Oryzias latipes: one gene and its partner. The protein of the gene in region 1 purifies or fractionates together with the protein of each later gene. This does not show direct contact. Links are inferred from orthologs where the notes say so. Each region holds a gene or a part of one and is shown on either strand. Other genes may lie near its edges.

What was found.
Region 2: the proteins of eloa (region 1) and ctr9 purify together in Homo sapiens (affinity purification with mass spectrometry; 4 studies listed by BioGRID and IntAct, with this or other methods). This does not show direct contact. The link is inferred for Oryzias latipes from reciprocal best matches to the Homo sapiens genes ELOA and CTR9.

Annotation. Positions count from the first base shown.
Region 1 is NC_019869.2:17,218,132-17,224,789, reverse strand, and holds part of eloa (elongin-A), read left to right. Parts: intron 1-262; coding exon 263-371; intron 372-821; coding exon 822-974; intron 975-1,165; coding exon 1,166-1,263; intron 1,264-1,754; coding exon 1,755-1,935; intron 1,936-2,015; coding exon 2,016-2,148; intron 2,149-4,073; coding exon 4,074-4,222; intron 4,223-4,314; coding exon 4,315-4,376; 3' UTR 4,377-6,658. UniProt on the Homo sapiens protein: SIII, also known as elongin, is a general transcription elongation factor that increases the RNA polymerase II transcription elongation past template-encoded arresting sites.
Region 2 is NC_019861.2:20,029,746-20,037,896, reverse strand, and holds the start of ctr9 (RNA polymerase-associated protein CTR9 homolog), read right to left. Parts: upstream 5,580-8,151; 5' UTR 5,468-5,579; coding exon 5,423-5,467; intron 4,413-5,422; coding exon 4,314-4,412; intron 4,076-4,313; coding exon 3,836-4,075; intron 3,750-3,835; coding exon 3,632-3,749; intron 3,549-3,631; coding exon 3,459-3,548; intron 3,293-3,458; coding exon 3,036-3,292; intron 2,942-3,035; coding exon 2,834-2,941; intron 2,758-2,833; coding exon 2,521-2,757; intron 2,400-2,520; coding exon 2,181-2,399; intron 1,946-2,180; coding exon 1,762-1,945; intron 1,668-1,761; coding exon 1,579-1,667; intron 1,501-1,578; coding exon 1,315-1,500; intron 1,039-1,314; coding exon 951-1,038; intron 879-950; coding exon 730-878; intron 638-729; coding exon 521-637; intron 440-520; coding exon 294-439; intron 221-293; coding exon 149-220; intron 67-148; coding exon 1-66. UniProt on the Homo sapiens protein: Component of the PAF1 complex (PAF1C) which has multiple functions during transcription by RNA polymerase II and is implicated in regulation of development and maintenance of embryonic stem cell pluripotency.

The DNA.
Region 1 (6,658 bases):
CTGTAGGTCACTAAATGAACAACCAGAAATGTCTGAACAGATCTTTAAAGCCATTTGGTGCCAAAAGTTTGTTTAAAATCTTGTCTCTGTTTCTTTCTCCTCCGACATTTTTGAACAATATCTTAAAGCTTTTTGTACATTACAAATGTCCAGACTGCTCCACTCCTTGAGCTTCTGTGGAGTTTCTTTCCCATATGTGGTCATTTCTCATATGCAAGATTAAAGCTTTCCTGGCACTGACTGATAAAACTGTTGTGTGTAGGTTGTTGAAGCTCTTCCAACTCTCCCGGAAATCCCTTTGCCGGCAATTCAACCCAATTACAGACCTCTGCCCTCCATCGACACGCCGCTGTCGCCTCAGAGGCGCAAAGGTAAGACGATCCAGAAATATAAACACCGACGCTCCTATGGAAAGATATAATACCAGTGAGAATTGAAGACAGTGATTTGTGTTTTTACACAAACATTAAAGATGGCTGAAAACTCTTTGAAGCAGTGATCAACAAATGTGTTATCTTGGGGACATTAGACTCATTTTTGTGGCTTCAGATGTAAACATCTTTGAAATCTACTTTTGTTTTTCACTGGATTCTGTTCTTAAGACAGCTGGACTTGTAGTTTCCTTTGTCTGTATGCTCTGATGAATAGAGTTGTGTGATAACGTAACCTGACAATCTCCACTTATTCTGTGCTTTAATTCCACTTCAAGTTTAGGTTTGAATAAAGCAAGAGATTCTTTCCAATCTGTCAGGATCAGTGATTCTGCAAGCAGCTCTGCTCAGGATCAAGCTGACTGACTTTCATGCTGTCTTTACTTTCAGTTCCTGTTTGCAACGATGAAGAGGACACAGGCTTCACTGGGAAACGTTTCAACTCCAAGATGGTTGTTTACTCCGGATCCAAATCTGCCTACCTGCCCAAAATGATGACTCTGTATGAGCAGTGCATCCGGGTGCTGCAGAACAACATTGACTGTAAGTTTCGATTTCTTCCAAAAAAATCCCATCAGCAAAGAGGTAGAGCAGTCTCTCATTAGCCCTGAAGGTGGCAGCAGAAAGTTAGTTTTCCAAGGAGCTTTTGAAGTTGAAGTGTTTGACTACCCAGCCACCTGTAACTCGGATGGTCAAAGCAAAGGCAATCATATAGCTGTTTTGTGCTCTTTTAGCCATCGCTGAGGTGGGAGGAGTCCCGTTTGAGATCCTTGAGCCTGTCCTGGAGAGATGTACCCCAGAACAACTGTACCGCATCGAGCTGAGCAATCAGGTGATTCATCAAACCAAACTTGCTACAAAAGACAACTGGCCCGAATGAACTCACAAAGAGGAAAAGGCCAGCTTCAAACCTACATAAAAATAAAGGTTGACTAAGCGCACGCCCTCCTTTCACTTTAAACCTATTTGATTCAGTTTTGCTTTTATTTTCTTTTAAGGATTTATAACCTTTAGTTCTAATTCATTGTTTAAACTTGTGGCTAACTAAACCCAAACAAAGATTCTACCACCGCCATGTTTCACAGAAATAAGAAGTGTCTTTTCTGTAATCGCTGCTAATTTATTTCATAAAAGTTCAATGCATTAATCATGTCAATTGATAAAAGACGGTTTGATTGACAAACTAAATGTGGACAGAAATAATTGTTTGAATTGTTTTTTCCATTCCTTCAGCCCACCATTCACAATACTTTTGGTTGCATTTCTATCAGTGTCCATCCTCCTAATGTTCAATCACTTAGCATCTGTTTTTTAACCTTTCAGTGTTTTACGGAAGATTCAGACGAGCTGTGGAAGCGCCACTGCCAGCGAGACTTTAAGCGCGAGTCTCCTCAGGAGTTCGAGTCATGGAGGGAAATGTACCTGCGGCTGCATGACGAGCGGGAGGAACGGCTGAGGCTGCTCACCCAGAACATCACCTCTGCACACGCCAACAAACCGAAAGGCAGGAGAAGATTTTGAAGACTTTAAAGCTGGTCTCGAAATGGCAGCCATTCTTACAGTCATCCTTCATGTGTTTTGCAGGTCGACAGGTTAAGATGGCGTTTGTAAATTCTGTGGCCAAGCCTCCACGTGACGTTCGGCGCCGACAGGAGAGGTTTGGTACCTCTAGTGGTTTGTCCTCGGCGGCTTCTATTACAGCTGCCTCTCCTATCAAGTGAGTGAATAAAACTATTATTCTGATCTAATCTTTGATAAAAGCTTCAAAACAACTTAATTTTCTTCTTAAAGAATTTGTTGGAATAGAAATGCACTAGTCATAGAAAAAGGCAACAGAAAGGATGCAGCTTAGAGGTTTGATAAAGAGTGAAGGCTTTTAAAGGACAGCATTCAAGCAGCTGTGGAGACTGATACCATGCATCAAAAACTAAACCCTTGTATCATTGAGATAAAGTTTGTTAATATGAGCCTTCTATTTACTTCGCTGCAAAGGGTTCAGTGACACAGAAACAGCCAGCCAGGCTCAGATCATAGCTTCACTTTAGCAGATTTACATCATCAGTGTTTAGAAGTGAATGAACAACTGGCAAAAAGAGATCTAAACTGCAACCAGGATAGGGGATCTGACACAAAGCCCTTGGATTGGATGTAGAGTTTTTTTAAAAACATTTTCCAGTTGAAAAACATTTGTTGGAAAAAAAACAACAGAATAATCGCTCAGAATTCAAGTCTACTCTCCACATGTGTCCATTCTGTATTTACCCGAGGTCTGACTTACTAAAAGTAGTTTTAGTGTTTCACATTTTAGGAAGACTGATTGTAATATGTTCATATGATGGCTTCTGTACGTCTTCAAAGGTCTATTTGCTAATTTAATTGCACATAATTACACTACACTTTACCCTCAATTCTGTTTATTGGGTTTCCTGCTTTTTAATTTTTTTTTGTTATCGTCGTGTTTCTTGTATTTAGGTTTGCCTTATGCCATGTACTGTCTTTTATCATGTTATTTATTTATTTTACTCACTATTGCCCTGTGCACTGTTGCTGTTGGACCACCCACAATTTAACAGCTGCTGGCAATTACAATATTCTAGTCTAGTCTAGTCTAGTCTAGTCTAGTCTAGTCTAGTTAGTCTAGTCTAGTTAGTCTAGTCTAGTCTGATTACCTTATTATTAAAGATAAACTCAAATACGCAACCATTTTATTTGTAAGAGAATTATTTTTCAATTGTTCTTTGAAGACGTTCAGAAGCCATCATATGAACATATTACAATCAGTCTTCCTAAAATGTGTAACACTAACCTGGTTCCGGGTTACACTACTTTACTGATATAGTATTATGTTTTATTCATATGAGTGGCTTTTATAAGTAACATAATCTGCATATATTTCAGATGACTGATCTGCATTTGCCATGTTGATTTCTAAAATAGTTATTTTTGACGTAATACTTAAGTAATTTATCTTTGTCATGTGCTTTATCGATATCTTATGACTTTTAATTCTGTCTGATAAAAACTGGGAACCGGATATTGATAAATCATGTAATAAAATGGTTATAGTATAACGTGGTGGGATTATATAAGTTTGCTTCCTTCCACTCCCTTTCAAGCAATATTTATTAATATGTCTAATTATCCTAAGTTTGATTAGTTACTGTATGAATGTATAACTGATGATTATATTGCTGTTGTGTATTATTTCTACTTAATTGCTTGAAATAAACCATTTCAAATCAAATCAAATCAAAATTGTTGACTCAGACGGGTGAACTTCTAACCAAATGTATTACTTATAATCTGTATTTCCCTGCCTATATGCAATCTAAATAATCACCCACCTAACTTTTGAAAGTTTTTTCTTTTACTTTCATCTATTTTTCTGCTTTTTAAAAAAAAACTGAAACAGATGCTGTTGCCATCAAATGAACCAGAATTGCTTAAAATGAAAAATGTTTAGCTGGTCTTGTCAACAAAAACCAGACTGTACATATTTAAGTCTAAATGCTCCAGGGATGCTATAGGAAGAATTTTACTCCATAAAAAAAACTTCTTTGATTATCTTATTTTTTAAGTTAAAGTTATTTGTACTATTCTTTCACTTCTATTCCCTCTCAAATATTTCTTTTTCTCCTCAAGAATCCGACCAGTTGTTACAGGCGACTCTGGAGAGTCGAGCCGCTCCTCTTCCTCCTCTCTGCTGGCCTCACCTGCGCCTTCATCCCGGCCCTCCGCTCCAAGTGGAGGAGGAGCAGGAGGACTTGGTCGAGAGAAGCCAGCTGTCAAAAGTAAGTTCACAGGCACTTTTTTATCATTAGATTTGCATTAAATCTTTATATGTTTGCATCAATTAAACCTCCATGTTTGATCTGTTCTGCAGAAATCGCCCCTATGATGGCCAAAACCATCAAAGCGTTCAAGAACAGATTCTCCCGCCGGTAATCTGAATGAGCCTGAATGTATTGTATCAATTACAACAGTTTTTAATTGAAGCTACAAACCATTTACAAGGGAACTGCGTTATGGGCTTCAGTGAGGGGTCTATGAGATTTTGAGATCATTCATCAACGAGTGATTGCAGTGTTGTGCTTGTAATCCAAGTTCAAGTCTTCTGAGAGAAGAGTTTTTCTTTTTTCAAAGACATATGGTGAGCAGAAGGGCTTTTGTGAACATCTATCCACAATTCTTCTGTGAAACACAGAGGTGGTGGCATCATTGTTTGGGACTGGAACGCTAACTATCATTGTTAGATTACTGTAGATGGGTAAAAGAAAAATCGCAACGTAGGAGAGCTAAAGACACCTCCTCCTCTGCCCTTAAAGAGAAGCCCAAATTCAAATGTTCAAAAATTTAAATCTTGACTAAAAATTAAATGCTATAGATTCCATAGAAATCCATCCAAGCACATGTTGTAGTCTGATCTCCTGTGGGACAGAAACTGGGTCCAAATCTCTGCTTTCAAGTGCAGTCACACAATCTGTTACAGCATTAAATGCTAATTTTTGCTAAATCTGTGAACAGATGCTCACAAAAGCTCTCCTACTGTCGTGGTTTTTTGTCAAACGACAGCATTTTGTGTTATAAAAGGAAACTCTTTCATTTTGGATTTCCTTGGAAGAACAAGCTTTTGGTGAATATTCACTTACAAGCTCAAAAAGAAAGGCTGATGCACACCTGAGCCCATATCCTGTTTCCCTCCAACACAAACACACAGTTCGCTTTGACCTTCAGAACATAACCTATGAACTCTGCGATGATGAAAAAGATGGTTTACTGTGTTTTTATGTATATTTGGGGAAGGAAATTTTATAAAATTAAATCCTAAATAATGGTCTTAGTGCAAAGAAAAGGAATTTACCATCTCAAAAAAAGACATGCACACACCTATGCTGTTACCTTTGATTGTTTTTAAGTGGACGGTTTTAAAGACATTTTTGTGTTTTTTGACCTTTCTTTCTTGACGTTTTATGAAAAATTTCATTTTTCCAAACCTTTAGCTGCTGCTAGACCTCAGCACAGAGACTAAAAACAAGAATCTACAATGTTGATCGGCTTTAGAAACATCTCCACATAAAAAAAATTACAATTTTATTGTAATGTCAGACTTATCAACACCAAACCAATTCCCATCAAGTATATAATGCAGACAGTTATCCTCTGTCTCCAAGATACAACAAACCATGCAGATTTTTAGTTTCTTTACAAATCGTGTCATATTTCTTTTACAAATAAATTGATGATTACTTTTTAGAAAATATGAAACATCTATGAAACAGCTAAAAAATACACCATTTGTTTTAGTTTTAGTGGCGTCGGCAATCAAAATGTATTAGCAATGAAACATTAAACAGTCTTCTCCTCAAGAATAATTGGGTTTTAAAGAATTTTAAGACAAAGTAAACTGCTAAAAACTGCTGAAATTTTTAGTAAAGAATTTGATTAGAAATGAAATGACTTGTTTTTAGTCTTTGTGCTAAACTGGTGAGTTGAAGGCCTTAGTGTAGCCTTTGTCACAGAAATTAGATATGTATCAACTTTCTAATTTCAACTCTCGCCAAGAAAACTTGCAGAAAGTTTCCAACATCTCAACTTTTCCTCAGAAAAGAAACGAAAATTATAAAAATATATTGTCCTTTTGGGTTCTCCTGTATGACTGAAGGACACAACAGAACTGCCTGTACATTTTTTTCTGTTTTGTCTTAACACCATTGACTGTCAAAGAGAGCACGTGAACCACCCCGAGTTGCCGGAAAAGCCTGCTTTTTAGAAATAAACATGCAGTTCATTTTTAATTTTATATTTTCCTTGGTACATGTTCAATGTGTAGATCTGAAATGAAAGCAGAAACGCACACTGTTGATCATATTTTTATCCTCCTGTGGCATTGGATGATGATGTCCTGCTGTTGAAAGTGTAAAGCCCTGTTTCCGTCTGCTCCTCTGTAATAAACTGCTTGAATAGGGTTGGTGGGTCTGGAAGAAGAGCTAGAGGGACGGTAGATCATAGGACGCCTGCAGCTTCAGACCATCATCATAAGGAGATGTATTTATTTTCAACGAAGGGACCTTGGCACCCCACAGCATGGGCCCCAACAGAAGCTAGATTCAAATTGTAATTTTATTAGATTTTAATAAATGTTAAATGGTCATTTTTGTTAAAACTGACTTTTGCCCTGAAAGATGACTTGTGTTTGTTGTTTTTATTAGCCCATAGAAATGTAGAGC
Region 2 (8,151 bases), on another chromosome or scaffold:
TCCTCATCCTGCTTTCTGGCTCTCGCCACGTGATACTGGGCCTGACTCAGCAGATCCGAGCACTGCCTGGATTCCAATAACACATCCAAAGTTATGCCAGGTTAGGACATTTATAAGGAGGGAAAACAATATTGTAATATAGTCATACCTAGCCTCAGACGCAGCGAGGGCGAGATCAAACCTCATCTTGTCTCCAGTCTTGCTGAGATAACTGAAATACCTGTTTGAAGAAGAATAAAGGTAAGAGGAAAAAAATACATCTCCAGCAGGGTGAAAGCAGGAAAATCAAATACCTGTGAGCCAGTTCAAGCTCTTTCACCGCACTGAGTACAGCCTTCAGGTTGCTCTTCTCATCTTTCAGCACCAGAGTGGCCAGTCTCTGAAGGACCAACGCCACATTGAACATCAACACCGTATCACTGGGAGCCACATGGCGGGCCTTGATGAGAACACGTCAGAAAGTTACGCTCATCTTCCTCCGACATCCCAGAGCACAGATGTGAGTTTGCCTCCATGTTACCTTCAGCAGAATCTGCTTGCACTCTTGGAGCTTTCCGCATTTGAACAAGGCTCTAGCCAGGTAAAGCAGAACCTCTGTGTTCTGATACTTGTAAAATTTCTTCAAGCAGTTCTCATACTGAAAAGCAGAGTTTAGATTTAAAAAAAAAGTTGGAACACCCAAACTTTTGAACATTTTTTTCTCCCCACCCACATTTGTGAAGCCCTTACCATTTGCACGGCGCTGATGTATTGCTTCTGCTCTACGTAAATGTGAGCCAGGTTAAGCCAGACATCGCTGATGTCGGCCGTGGCCTCCCTCACCTGAGCAAACACGTCACGAGCCTCCCGGAAATAACCCTTATGGGCAAGGACGGCACCTGAACCAGCAGTTTCATGTTTAAGAGGAGTTTAAAAGAAGAGAACAATAAGGAAATAAAGCCTTAACATACCAATTCCGTTAGCAGCATGAAGATTCTTCGCATCATTTCGTAGGACTTGCTTGTATATTGCCAGGGCTCGATCCTGATGTCTTTTTTCCTGCTCAGACACAAGTGAGACTAATTTGAGGCTTTGTTCTCCACTGAAACACAGAGAAAACTATTGACTTCCACTCTTATTACTGCTGAGAAGTTGTGCTCTATTTGAAACAAACTGTTCCAACTTTGTATAACCTAAAACAAAAAAAAAACCTTATTTGTGTTTTCAATAACATTAATTAGTAAGAGCCTTTTGTAACCACTTTCACTCGTTTGTAAATGTAGTGAAACTTTTTTCCTGTTTCACGGTGGGCTGGCTGACTGACGGCGGCTGCACCTTTTCCCGGTCCCTCGTCGGCTGGTGCAGGGTCTGAAGCCACACGTTTCCCAGAGCAAGCATGGAGTAGGTGTCGTTCTGGGTGGACGGCTGCTTCAGAATCCTCTCAAACTTTTTTTGGCCCGGCCCCCACTCTTGTTTTGCCAAGTGAAGATTCCCGATTAAGGACCAGGCATCCGGGTGATCCTGCATTACAGAACAAACAAAAAGATGTGGTTTATACTCGATATTTCTCGTCAATGCTCTAACGCTTAATGTTCGTACCTGATTGATCTGCAGGGCTTCTTTGAACCAATCAGAGGCCTCGTAGAAGTTCCCTTTGTCACGAGCCATTGCTCCAAGACGCAAATAACCTGAAATTTGACAGGTTAATTTTTAAGAAAAGGGTTAATTATAGAAGAAAGGAAAGAAATTTCCATTTCTTAATACTTTAAGTTTGGTGCTTACAGTCCACATAATTGGGATGCTCCCGGAGGATGTTTTTGTAGAGTTTCTCAGCTTCGTGGAATTCACACATCGCCTCATACAAACGGGCCAGATTGTAGGAAGTGGTCACAGAAATGGCATTGTAATAATGCTCATCATGCTCCCCTTCAGCTTTGGCTCTCTCCAAGGATGCAAGGAAGTATTTCTATAAAGAACAAGAAACAACCAGCACTGAGATAGCACCACAAACTCTGCTTAACCCCACATTGATTAATTAATTTTGTACTCTTTCTGTGCTCCAGGCTGCAGAATCAACAAGATGGTCTTGAAAAATGTTTTCGCGATATTTTTCACATTTAAATACACATACTTTAAATAATGAATAAAAAAAGTATCACTTGAAAAGTGCCAATAACAAGCAAAAGTTGCTTTTCTCTTACCTTGGCTTCTCCCAGGTTCCCCAGTCTAAAGTGCAGAGCGCCCAGGTTGTTGAGAATTTCGGGGGGAACGTCGGCCTGCACCGTCTCCTGCAGGATGCGAGTGGCTGTGCCGTAAGCAGACAGAGCGCCCTGGATGTCAGTCTGCTCCAAGATCTGGGCGAGCTCAATCCACGCCTCCACATCATCTGGGTACTGCTCTGTTACCTTTTTGAGGTGACCCTGAACAACCAAAAAGGCATCCGTCTAACATTTGAAAGTTTAAAACTAAAAAATAACGTGAACGTTTTTTAAGAGGGAATTTTCCCTGCCATGGGACAAAATGAATCCATAACAAACCCACTTTTGCAATATCCCTCTTGTCTTGATCATCAGACGTTGCATAGAGGGACCCCAGGATTTTCATGGTTTCGTAGTTGTTCGGATAGGCCTTCAGAACTTTCTCAAAGCACTGTGCTGCGTTTTCTTTGTCTCGTCGATAAACGTACATCTGACCCAGACCAAAGAAGGGCAACACAAAGGTAGTTGAAGCAAACTGAGTGGCCTGGTAGTAATACTGGAAGGCCTGGTCGTAGTCCTCCTAAAGATGAGACAAACCAAACATGATATATACTGAATTTAATGAAACCTAAATAGGTTTAAAAAGAGTTACTTACCTGGACGTGAAAGGAGCGGGCTAGCTGATAACAGCTCTCAGCCTGCATGGCCTCGACTTCCGTGTTGTGAAAAGCGTGAAGTGCCAGATGCTGCACTTTTCTGTAATCCTAGCAGTAAACATACAAGCACAAATTATGAAAATGCAGCCAAAGTCAGACATTCTTATTATTACTGAACAGCTAAGGGAAACCAAGGGGTTACCTTTTTGAAGAAGAAGTGGTTGGCGAGGTGGTTAAGCACCATAGGGTTGCTGGGGTCGATGGTGTAGGCCCGTGACAGGAGCTGGACTCCGTTCTTTATGGAGTCTGCCTCTTTGTTGTTGAGCTCCAAAACCGCCAAACCAACGAGCGCTCCCACACACTTTGAATTCAGCTCCAGGGCGCGACTGAACGCCAAACGAGCTTTCTCCAGTTTGTTGAGCTTGACAAAGCAATGGCCCATCCCCAGCCTTACCTCAGCTACACATGGATTAAAAAAAAAAGAAAAAAGACAATCAGACATGACACAAATTAACTAAAATGTTATTAGGTTTTGTCTTAAACCAAAATACCAAAAATTTGAACCAAATAACAGAATGGAAACATTTTCAGCAGCAGCACTTCTATAGTGTGCAACACATTTTACCTGGGCAGCCAGGATTTGTGCGTAAAGCCTTTTTGTAGTATGCCAGTGCTCCTCTGTAGTCCTTTTTATTGAATGAGATGCAGGCCTTTCCTATTGAAAAACAAAGGCAATTATTATTTTAAACTGATCGCGGCGGCAAGAGCTGAGAAAGTTTTCTCCGAAACTCATCGTACCGAGCAAAGCGGGGATGTTGTTTGTAGACTGGTTAAGGACAAAGTGGAACTGAGCATCAGCCTGGTCCATCTTGTCTCCTTCCAGCAGGCAGAAACAAGCTCTTCCCAACAAATGGTTCTAAACGAGTCAACAATACGGTGCGTTTTCAATAAAGCCAAAGCAGCTTTATTTCACTACTGCCTGCTACGAAACATCTGCCGTACCTGGTCGTACATGATGATTTTGTCCGCCATGGTATAGAGCAGAGTGGCCTGGGTGATGAGCTCTTTTTTGGCATCTTTGTTTTTCTCTTTACGTGCTTGCTGAACATAATAAGCAGCCAGGGTGTCTAAGCAGGTCATCTGGTCCTTTTCATGGTCTCTGTAGTCGAGGTTTCCATCAATACGTGCGGCTTCTAGAAGCTTCACAAAATCTTCTGTCTTGCCCTGTTTGTAATACTCCAACTGAGGAGAAAAGCATCGATTCAGAGGGTATAAAGGGGACTTCATGATATTTATCAGATAATATGTTCTCTTTACAAAAACTTAGTTTGCAGTGATTACAATGACATTTTTAGGAAGTCATTTATTTTATGATCTGTTGATCTAATATCTCAAGAGAGTACTATCGGGAAATTCTAGTTGAATTTACAAGAAAAACAAAAGTAATTTCAATCAATGTTTTATTATTTGAAATACTCACTGCCAAAGCAATCCAGATGTGCAGCTGTGTATGTTCCTGCTTCAAGATGCTGATGACCTCGTCTCCCTCAGGAAGCTGGTCAAAGTCGAGCTCAATGACCTGCAGGGCACAACAAAGTTTATTTCTTCAGGACAGACGAAAATCTGACTTAATCTTTATTTAGAGTATGAGTGGCAGTAAATAAATATCAGCAGTTATAATGCGACTTAGATCATGTTTGAAGTTGCAAGTCTGTTCGTTTAATACCAGAAATAACTCATCTGTAATCACCAAATCTGAATGCACTTCAGAACTCTGATAATCGTGTGGTTTACAGGCCTCAGTTCATAAGAATTACTTTTCAAAGTTCACGTGACCACAGACTGAAGCTTAAAAATCGAAAATATTTCATCAAGGCTCTAAAGAAAAATTAGAAGTTGCAATGATTCCTTTCCCAAAGAAGCCTCTGACTAAGAACACTAAGTTCCTTTTTTTATGTGAGTGTGTTAGAATTCAAGGATTCTTTATTGCCATTTTCAGTGAACAGGGCAGTTTCACAGAATTGGAATTTGCTGCAGTGCTAATGTGCAACATAAAACACTTAAGAATAGAAAAAATGAACAACAGTAAGCAAAATTTAAAATGACACAATGGTCAGAACAATAAACAGAATAAGTAGTGCAAACAGAGTTCAAGAAGGTATTCCATGTTTATTTGTTTACTTCTGGTTTTATAAAATTAGCCATATAGCCTACAGCGTCAAAGTCGTGATTTAAATGACATTCTTTAGATCTCAATATAACTGTTGATGTATGTAATGCAGAAACTATGTAGTCCAATTTCTGTAAACGTTAGCTTCTGTTTCCCAAACAGGGGGGGAATACGTTAAATTAAGATAGTTCCCTTTCCCACACAACTGTTTTACATGTTGCCTATATTTAGTTTTAATTGCATTTTACTGGGTAAACATTTAAACCAACCAAAGCGTCACAACTGTTTACATTACTCTTATCTGTAAGACGAAATGTCACAATTAGCGCTTGCTAGCTGCTGTTAGCATAAGAAACTAGCATCGCAGCGAGGTTCGCTTCCAAACATCAATCAAAACAATTTGCAACTATGACTTTCACCTCATCCGTGTCCCTCAATGGGATCTCTATTGAGCCTCGAGACATCTTGGCTTTGAAGGGTAGATCCTTCTCAAGATAGATTTTTAAAAAAGACTACAAAAATCTAGCCCGTTGTCTGCTGCTTGCTATTTGGTGCCCCAGCAAGCAACAGACTGTGTAACTGAAAATTCAATCCGGCTGGAATAACAGACTTCTTCTTCTGCAATACCGCCACCTGCTGTGTTGGAGTAAGGGTCGGAGTGGGGGACTAACTAAAAAAAAAAATATATATATATATATATATATATATATATATATATATATATATATATATATATATATATATATATATATATATATATATATATATATATATATATATATATATATATATATATATATAATCTAGCCGCAGGGGTTGCAAGCCAGTTGCCTCTGTGCCGGTCCCAAGCCCGGATAAATAGAGAGGGTTGCGTCAGGAAGGGCATCCGGCGTAAAAATTGCCAAAATAACCATGCGAATCATCCACAACACTTTACACATACCGGATCGGTCGAGGCCCGGGTTAACAACGACCGCCACCGATGCTGTTAACCTACAGGGTGTCGGTGGAAATTTGACTACTGTTGGTCGAAGAAAGAGGGGAGGCAGAAGGGTCCGTGGCCAGAGAGAGAAGGGAAAAGGCAGGAACATAGGTTTGAGAATAGGGACTCTTAACGTTGGCACAATGACAGGGAAAGGCAGAGAGCTGGCAGACATGATGGAGAGAAGGAAGCTAGATGTACTGTGTGTGCAGGAGACAAGGTGGAAGGGCAGCAAGGCACGTAGTATTGGAGGAGGATACAAACTGTTCTATCATGGTGTTGATAGGAAGAGAAACGGGGTAGGAGTGATTCTGAAGGGGGAGTTTGTAAACAGTGTTCTAGAGGTGAAAAGAGTCTCAGACAGGATGATGAGCCTAAAGTTAGAAATTGAAGGGGTGATGGTGAATGTAGTCAGTGGGTATGCGCCACAGGTTGGCTGTGAGTTAGAAGTGAAGGAGAGATTCTGGAGTGAGTTGGATGAGGTCATAGAGAGTATCCCCAGAGGAGAGAGAGTTGTTATTGGAGCAGACTTTAATGGACATGTTGGTGAGGGCAACAGAGGTGATGAGGAGGTGATGGGCAGGTTTGGTGTGAAGGAAAGGAATCTGGAGGGACAGATGGTGGTGGACTTTGCGAAGAGGATGGAAATGGCTGTAGTCAACACTTACTTCCAGAAGAGAGAGGAACATAGAGTGACATACAGAAGTGGAGGTAGGAGTACTCAGGTGGACTACATCCTATGTAGACGAGGTCATTTGAGAGAGGTTATTGACTGCAAAGTGGTGGTAGGAGAGAGTGTAGCCAGACAGCACCGCATGGTGGTGTGTAAGATGACTCTGGAGGTCAGGAAGAAGAAGAGAGGGAAAACAGAAAAGAAGACCAAGTGGTGGAAGCTACAGAATGAAGAAACTTGTGAGGAATTTAGGCAGAAGTTGAGACAGGTCCTGGGTGGTCAGGATGAGCTTCCAGATGACTGGGAAACTACAGCAGAAATTATCAGGGAAACAGGTAGGAAGGTGCTAGGTGTGTCATCTGGAAAGAGGAAAGACGGTAAAGAGACTTGGTGGTGGAATGAGGAAGTACAGGAATGCGTCCAGAGGAAGAGGTTGGCTAAAAGGAAGTGGGATGTAGAAAGGACTGAGGAAGGTAGACAGGAGTACAAGGAAGCGCAGCGTAGAGTGAAGAGAGAGGTGGCAAAGGCCAAACAGAAAGCTTACGATGAGCTATATGACAGGTTAGACACAAAGGAAGGAGAAAAGGACTTGTACAGGCTAGCCAGACAGAGAGACAGAGATGGGAAGGACGTGCAACAGATAAGGGTGATTAAGGACAGAGATGGAAAGGTGCTAACAACCCAGGAGAGTGTACAGAAAAGATGGAAGGAGTATTTTGAGGAGCTGATGAACGAGGAAAATGACAGGGAAAGAAGGGAGGAAGATGTGGTTGTTGTGGAGCAGGAAGTAGCAGAGATTGGAAAGGATGAGGTTAGGAAGGCTCTGAAAAGGATGAAGAGCGGAAAGGCCGTTGGTCCTGATGACGTACCTGTGGAGGTATGGAAGTGCTTAGGAGAGACAGCAGTGGAATTTCTAACGAGGTTGTTCAATAGGATTTTAGAGAGTGAGAAGATGCCTGAGGAATGGAGGAGAAGCGTTCTGGTCCCGATCTTTAAGAACAAGGGTGACACGCAGAACTGCAGCAACTATAGAGGAATAAAGTTGATGAGCCACACAATGAAGCTGTGGGAAAGAGTAGTGGAAGCCAGGCTTAGGAAGAAGGTGGAGATTTGTGAGCAGCAGTATGGTTTCATGCCCCGTAAGAGCACCACTGATGCCATTTTTGCTTTGAGAATGTTGATGGAAAAGTACAGAGAAGGTCAGAAGGAGCTGCATTGTGTGTTCGTAGATTTAGAGAAGGCGTATGACAGGGTGCCGAGGGAGGAGCTGTGGTACTGTATGAGGTCGTCTGGAGTGGCAGAGAAGTATGTCAGAGTAGTTCAGGACATGTATGAGAGAAGTATGACGGTGGTGAGATGTGCTGTAGGTCAGACAGAGGAGTTCAAGGTGGAGGTGGGACTACACCAAGGATCAGCTTTGAGTCCTTTTTTGTTTGCTATGCTGATGGACAGGCTGACAGACGAGGTAAGACAGGAATCTCCCTGGACAATGA